Daphnia pulex: one gene and its partner. The protein of the gene in region 1 interacts with the protein of each later gene in a pairwise test. Links are inferred from orthologs where the notes say so. Each region holds a gene or a part of one and is shown in the gene's direction. Other genes may lie near its edges.

What was found.
Region 2: the proteins of uncharacterized protein LOC124195356 (region 1) and MOB-like protein phocein interact in a two-hybrid assay, tested with the Drosophila melanogaster proteins (2 studies listed by BioGRID). The link is inferred for Daphnia pulex from reciprocal best matches to the Drosophila melanogaster genes rau and Mob4.

The regions. Positions count from the first base shown.
Region 1 is NC_060022.1:5,383,220-5,387,582, reverse strand, and holds the start of uncharacterized protein LOC124195356, read left to right. Parts: upstream 1-1,422; 5' UTR 1,423-1,444; coding exon 1,445-1,588; intron 1,589-4,363.
Region 2 is NC_060018.1:6,492,692-6,495,679, reverse strand, and holds MOB-like protein phocein, read left to right. Parts: upstream 1-1,300; 5' UTR 1,301-1,429; coding exon 1,430-1,486; intron 1,487-1,548; coding exon 1,549-1,712; intron 1,713-1,775; coding exon 1,776-1,985; intron 1,986-2,055; coding exon 2,056-2,167; intron 2,168-2,224; coding exon 2,225-2,365; 3' UTR 2,366-2,472; downstream 2,473-2,988. Other genes in the region: ribonuclease P protein subunit p25-like protein, read right to left, coding at 2,473-2,578, 2,645-2,761, 2,817-2,988.

The DNA.
Region 1 (4,363 bases):
TGCGGATCACGGAATACGATTATTCCTGGGCCATGCAGTTGGCTGAAACTGTTTTCTCTCGCTGTTTTTGTTTTTCTCAGTCAGGGTTTATTAAATAGCTCACGTGTGTTACTACAGATCAGGCCTGTTTTTGTACACAATCGAATTCAGAAATATTTGATTGACACACTTGAAGCAAGTGCAACTTGCAACAATTTTTCCCACAAGTCTTGCCGCCACACCGGCACTTTCTGGTTATTATACGTATAGACTCCACTTAACTGATGTTGTTGTCCGTGTGATTTATACCGCCTCATAAGACATTCGTCTCTGCTGCTGAGCCGTTCTCGTTTTTCCATACATTAGAGTCGTTTCTCCACGGGTCAAACAGCTAAATCAATTTCAGGGCTGATGCTTTTCCGCCAAGAGCCTATGGTGGTTATATTGGCGGAACTGGAAGGGAGAGGGAGGACAAGAAATCTTGAAATCTGAATGGGCCCTGCGTGCTTCCTGTCAATTCAAGGCGTGCGGTTTCCACGGTCGCCGAGTCTGCGGTGTATCTCTCCAGCCTTTGTGTGTGTCTATTCCGTCGATATATACGAGAGTCGGGAAATCAATTAGTCGAAGGTCTATCGGCTCTCCCAGCAGCTCACAAACCCCTTTTTCGCTCTTTGTCTCCCGACGTCCACATATATAAACTCGAGAGATCCTTCTGGCAAACCTTCGTGTGCAGCTGTTTCCCTTCAAACCCTAGTCAATAGAATAATATCCGTCTCGAGTCATCATTACTTATTCCTCCGTCTAATCAGATTCCGAATCCTTGGATCGATGGCTACTCCACTCTAAATCAAATGGAGGCCTTCGACAATCACCCGACCGTGCCCCCGCACATTACACATATCGATTCCTACAGTAGAGAATGCAACGAGAAAAAAACGTATTTGTTATATTGTGTGGCAAGGGGGTACTAAACGGTTATATTCTGTGATGATTGTGTGAGTGTTGAACGAGAGGAATGTGGGCAGTAGCTGTTATCCTTGTCAATAGGGAGCAATAAATCCTGCGTTTCCTAGTCGCCGGACCCTCATGACATTGCTATTTTTACGGCTCACCAGACCGAGAATCTATTCAAACCGTGCACAAAGTGTGTAGTAGTAGACTCTTTCCCTCCTCCACATAGTAAGTAAATAAGTTAAAAAAGAAAAGGAAAAAGTAAAGTAGAAAAAGAAAAGAATGAAGAGGAAGAGCCACATAGCCCTTTGACAACAGCAACAGAGAACTACAGACGATGATATGCCCCGCCGGATAGGCATCGGTGTGATCATCGAAGAAACACCTTTTTTTTTTTTTTCTTTTTCTCCTTTGCTGCTCACCTCTCCCCCCTTTTAAAGGAGAAGGTTCAATATTTGCTCAGTAGGTTCGAAACACTTTTTTGGCTATTGTCGTTTCATTATTAGTCGCCTGAATGGCACCCACGCATTCGTCTGCACCTTACCATAGACAGGCGATTTTACTTTCAATAATCTGTCGGCGCGTTGAACCGGCGACACTAGACTGGGTTTTCTCTCTCTCTCGTCATTCCGGTACGTCCCAGTGGATCTCCATAATGGTATCGTACTACTTCTTGTTTGTATTTACTGCGATTTAGCACTTTAATTTCTACAAAACAGCAGTCCTCGGAGAGTAGAAATACTTTAGCTCTGTATTTCTTTTCTATTTGGGCTGGCTTCTAACATTGTCTACGTTAGACTAAGTGGTAGCCGTCCAAAAATAACTTTTTTTGTTGTTGGGTGATGTGATTTATTTGTCTGAGTCTTCTCCATATGTGAGTGTGTGTACAAGTCAGCTTATATACAAGTCCGGGGACCGGAATCGCTTCATTACTCATATGTTTCTCTCAATGTTTCGTTCTCTTGTGGGTTTCGACTCTTTCGGGGTGTCTGTCCGCCGGCCGACATGGTGGCCCGTATTTTCTTGTTAATTTCGCTTCCTGTTGTGTGTGCGCGCCTGCTCCTTCCTTGGCCGATTTCGGTAGGAAAAATCTTTTTGAGTCAACTTAGTGCATGTAAGTGACGTGTGGGCACGTGAGCGCGTACAAGAAACAAAAAAAGTTTGTTCTTCTTCTTCTTTCGCCCCCCGTCCGGATGTCGTAGAATTTTTTTCGGGTAATAATGAACGGTCAGCTATTTTTCTTAGTCTCGTGTTGTATTAACGTTGCGTGTGCCGTGACCTGTGCGGATGAACTCGGTTTTCCTTTTTGGTTAAAAATAAGAATAAAAAAAAGCGTGCTGCTTCTTTTTGGGCATTGCAGCACAAGTCCCATGTTGGTATAATCGTTTGTATTTCTTCTTCTTCTATATTCGACCGCTTTTCCATTTCCTTTGGACGTCCCTCTCCGGATGGACGCTTAACCACGTGCCTACTTGACTAGCCAGATATCTCGCGGCCATATTATTTCTTCTTCTGAACTTGACGATTCTTCTTACTTGAGTGTGTTATTACGTTTGCTATGGGCTATAGAGTCCTTTCCTTTATTCGGTTAGTCGCTCCCCTTTATTGCAGCTCTTAAGAGACACACGACTGTCCATCCTGCGACAAACACTGGATATAAGGGCTGTCGGCCGTACGTACCGTATCGTTTTCGGTATCGCGCGCCATACTTTCTTTCCTCTGCGTATTTTCTTTGGTAGAATCAATAAAACTCGTAGGTTAGGGTTGCAGTAGTTTTTTTCTTCTTCTGGCTGAAGTGGAGGGGTTGAAAATCTAAAAAGAATTGATAAGCCGATTATTTTTCATACAAATCAGTCTACACAATACTGTGGAAAAAAAAAGAAATGGGAGGGTATTTTTTCTCCCCTTTTTTGGAGAGAAAAATAACTCTTCTAAGTCTTCCTGACGCAGTGTTATACGGGCGGCTAAATATTTCTACAGTAGCTACAATAAATTCAAATTCAATACGCGGACTGTAATAACTTGTGACGCGTACGAGCATAACTTAAGGGATTTGTGGAGTGTAGCAAACAGCTGTCTGAGCTGGCCGAAAAACCGAATTTTCACGAAGCAGAATTTGTGTCTTCTTTGGATCAACATTTCGGTGTTGACCCAAAACAGCCCGAAAACTCAAAAGCCCGTAACTCGAAACTTGTGTGGTGTATATATATATTGCGCTTAATGTATTTTCGGTGGGGGGCGACTTGCGCAGTGCACTTGAAACAAAAAAATGGAACTTGTAATAATAACGTAAACAGATTTTTGACGAGTTTATTTCCAAGAATCATTGAAACAGAGAGGCTCTCGAGATGATGTTTTGTGTAAAATTATATCGGCTCCTTGTTTTTCTCTCACACAGTCACACAATTTTAGCAGAAACACAATGAACGATGCGACAGTCAATTCTCAGACTTTGGGGTAGAAATAAAAAATAAAAATTAAAGAAATGTTTGAAAGGATTTTCCTTGACGTGATGGACGAGAAACGCCCGCGCGTCACTTGTGTATCGCCGTCTGGTAAAGTTCTCCTTTTGTCTTTTGGCTCAGTTGGTTTCCTTCACTTTTTTGGGGGGTTTCGTTCTCGTAGCCTATGGTTTTGAGGGGAACAGCAGCTTACCGGCATGCAATCTGATTTGCATAACGGGTGGCGGGATACGGCGGACCGTAACGCAACAACAGCCAGGAACAATAAGAAACAACAAAACAAAACAAGAAAAGGTAAAAATATCCCAAAACAACAGGAAGAGAAGAAAAATAAGCTGCAGTCAATCAAACGTATCCGTAGGGACAAGACAAAGCCATGAGAGAACCACCGCTAATCGATTCAGTATATTCGTATATAATACCAGTTAAGATTTACATGTTTTCTGGTTGTTGTATCCTTCAAGGATTGATGGCCGACTGGTTATTGGCAATTGAATACTCAACGATTCCGGGATGCCTATCGAGAAAATTCATTTTTTTTGTTCTTTTCCTGGACACTAACGAAATCGAGAACCCGACAAAGTGTGTTAAACATTGGCCCTTGTGGTTCCGTGTTCTTGAATGACATCAGCGACTGTTGGAACCGCAAAAATGCATAACCGATCGCCGATTTTTTCTTTCTTTCTTTCTTCTTGACTTTTTAAGACCCCGCAACCGAATTAACAGCTGATTGTTCTCTTTCCCCCCCCCTACAACAACAGCCTGGAGGCCATAATAATTTCTGTTTTTGCCTTTTAAAAAGAAAAAAAAAAAATTTAAAGCCCAACAACACAAAGTTCCTATACCGAAGGACCGGTCCCCTTTTTTTTTATTTTAACCTTCCTTTTCCTGTTTTGCTGTCAGCCATCGAGAGAGTGTTTCATAGCCCGTGGTCGTATATAAAGGGAAGAAGAAGAAGAAAAAAAAAGGCA
Region 2 (2,988 bases), on another chromosome or scaffold:
CACGACGGAATATATAGCGGAGGAGGCGGAGGCCAGCAGCAACTAGCTTTCATTCATTTTTTAGGGTCCAGCAATTTGCATTTTCACCAGCCTCTTCTCAATCGTTGACCTCTATTACTCTTCCGGAGCCCACTAAACTTTTTTTTTCAGCCTGTCTGTGCGGTGGTAAATCGTAATTGCAAAATTGCCAACTATTATACCCATAGTTGGTATTTTTCTCTATATAACAGTTAATTCGAAACGGATAAAAAAACACACATGCGATGGATAGCTAAAAACAAGTTTGTGAAGTCAACCTTCGAGCACGAATTCTTTTAAATGCTGAGGAAGTTTACGACACTTTGACCAGTTCTTTTTTTATTGCGTCAGTGCATGAAAGCGTGACAGCAGCAGCGACATTGTAAGTACCGTGAACTGAACTTATCAAAGCAGTGAGAACTTGTACACAGCACACAATCCAGCAGAACCCTGCGCTCAGATGAGCGAGTAGTGCGGAATGATGCACTCGATGGGAAAAAATCCAAATAGAAAAGTGGTTATCAAAACCAAATCCGCGTACCCCCAATGTGAAATCACAGCAAGCAAGTGCAGTGCAGAGTAAATAAAACCCCAAAAAAGTAAAGAATGAATGATTCATGTAACGGATGAGACTGCTGACTATACGGAATTTTTTCCGTTAGTCGTATCGAATTGAACAAAAAGGCAATCTAGGTCACAGCAGTTCTTTTCGTGCACATCATTTCGAGGGGGGCTTCCACCGCTTCCATTCTCGGAACTGAAAAGGGTGTACACCGATTTTGATTTTTCTTCAATTTCTTTTTTACCATCTGGAGAAATATCACTACTCTCGGAGTTTTATGGAAACTAACAAAATTATTGGTTTCCTCGATTCAATACTTAAATCTTTTCACATGCAACAGCGTAAAATTATATTGTTTAAATGACAGTAAGACTAGGAACTTACAGGTCACCATGAAACAATGAAACCTGTTGGGGAAATTAAGTTACATTTACGTGTGCAACGATTACAGATTTTAAGTCGGATTAGCGAGTTATAAATCTATCGTGTTGGTTAGTATACGTTCTCTTTTATTAACAGAAGCTTATGGTATAGATCTACTCGACACTAAAGCCAGTAACGTAATATCAAAATTGCACATCTAATTGATCTTCAGGTTTTACATTGCGTTTCCGTTTTACATGGCGAGTTGAAGACTTGAAGGGTGCATAAAGCATAAAGTGTCAGAATTCAGAAAGCGCCTACTAGCGCCATCTCTACATACAGTGTGTAGTCAGTCCCCCTCAAAGCTCATCAGTGGGAGACCATGTTGGAAAGGGAGGTTGATGACGTAGTTGTGTGAAAGAAAGGAGGCGCCCTGTGTTGTTGTGTACATTCAATCTCAATCAAAAGCGTCTAATTAAGTGTAAAATGGCGGATGTAGAATGCCGAACGGAAAGGAGAAATCGACCTGGAACAAAAACAATTGTTTGTATTTTTATAATGATCTTGGTATTAAGATTAACTTTACCAAAGATTTGCATGTTCAGGAGTATTACCGCTGGCCCGAAGAAATGTTCGAAGAAATGGATAGTACGTTAGCGGTGCAGCAGTATATTCAACAACTCATTCGTAAAGATTTCACTGCCATAGATGAAATTCTAAAAGCCCCAGATTCTCAAGATGAAGGTGTATGGAAATATGAACATCTGAGGTGAGTAATAACGATGTGTGTGTGCTATTGAAAGAGAATTATATTTTTCTCCTTCTGCTGCAGACAATTTTGCATGGAACTGAATGGTATAGCAGTAAAGCTGCAAAATGAGTGTCACCCTGAATCTTGTACACAAATGACAGCAACAGATCAATGGATATTTTTGTGTGCTGCACATAAAACTCCGAAAGAATGTCCTGCTATTGATTATACCAGACATACCTTAGATGGTGCTGCTTGTCTTTTAAACAGTAATAAGTATTTTCCAAGTCGGTAAGTTTAACTAAAATAGCAGCGTGTATTATGTTTTACTTTATTAACCGACTTCAATTTATATTTTTAGCATAAGTATTAAAGAATCTTCTGTGGCCAAGCTAGGATCGGTGTGTCGGCGAGTTTATAGAATATTTTCTCATGCCTATTTTCATCATAGGAATCTCTTCGATGAATTTGAGGTTAGTTTTTGTTATTTATTTCAGTAAGATGTTACTAATTTTATTGTATAATTCTAGAATGAAACTTTCCTTTGTCGCCGCTTTACGGAATTTGTTACCAAGTACAACTTAATGTCTAAAGAAATATTGATTGTACCAATTTTTGAAGAAACTGAAACTGGCAATTTTATTGGCCATTCTGCTGAGTCAGAGGCATAATCAGTCATTTATTACAACTTTAATGTGTGCTTGATGTTATTGCAGTTTAACAACTTTGTTCATCCCCTCTAGGAACACTCATCATATTTCATGTCTTCAATAAATTTTCATTTGGTTCCAAAATTGTGGTAATTTTTGTTTCTTGCCCTTGATTTTTTCTTCATCTTTCCAGGAGCCTCAGTGGTTTTAACATCAACTTGAGAAGACTGGTACCTGTCCAATAGAAGCAAATAAACAACTTAATATCAATTTCATTAAGTATTGTTGTATGGATAATACCCAGGTTCATTGGAATCCAATGGCTCAATTGACAACAAAATGTGTATTAAAGGAATATTCCGAACAACTCTAAGGGAATCAAGTTCATCACTCTTAGGATTCCAATATTCCTCACATCTAGAGAAGAGTGTTAGTTAAAATAAAATTAAAGATTACTATGTATTTTTTGTACTTGTGATATGAGATTTTAGATATTTGATGTAAATTTTGAATTTTCCTTTTCATGATTTCAACACAACTTATTGTTTTTCCAATTGCTGCCCCAGTTCCAGACCACACTTGAGATTTATTATCTTCCATAGATTTTAAGGCAAATTCAATAAGGTTTGTCATTTTACTGCCTG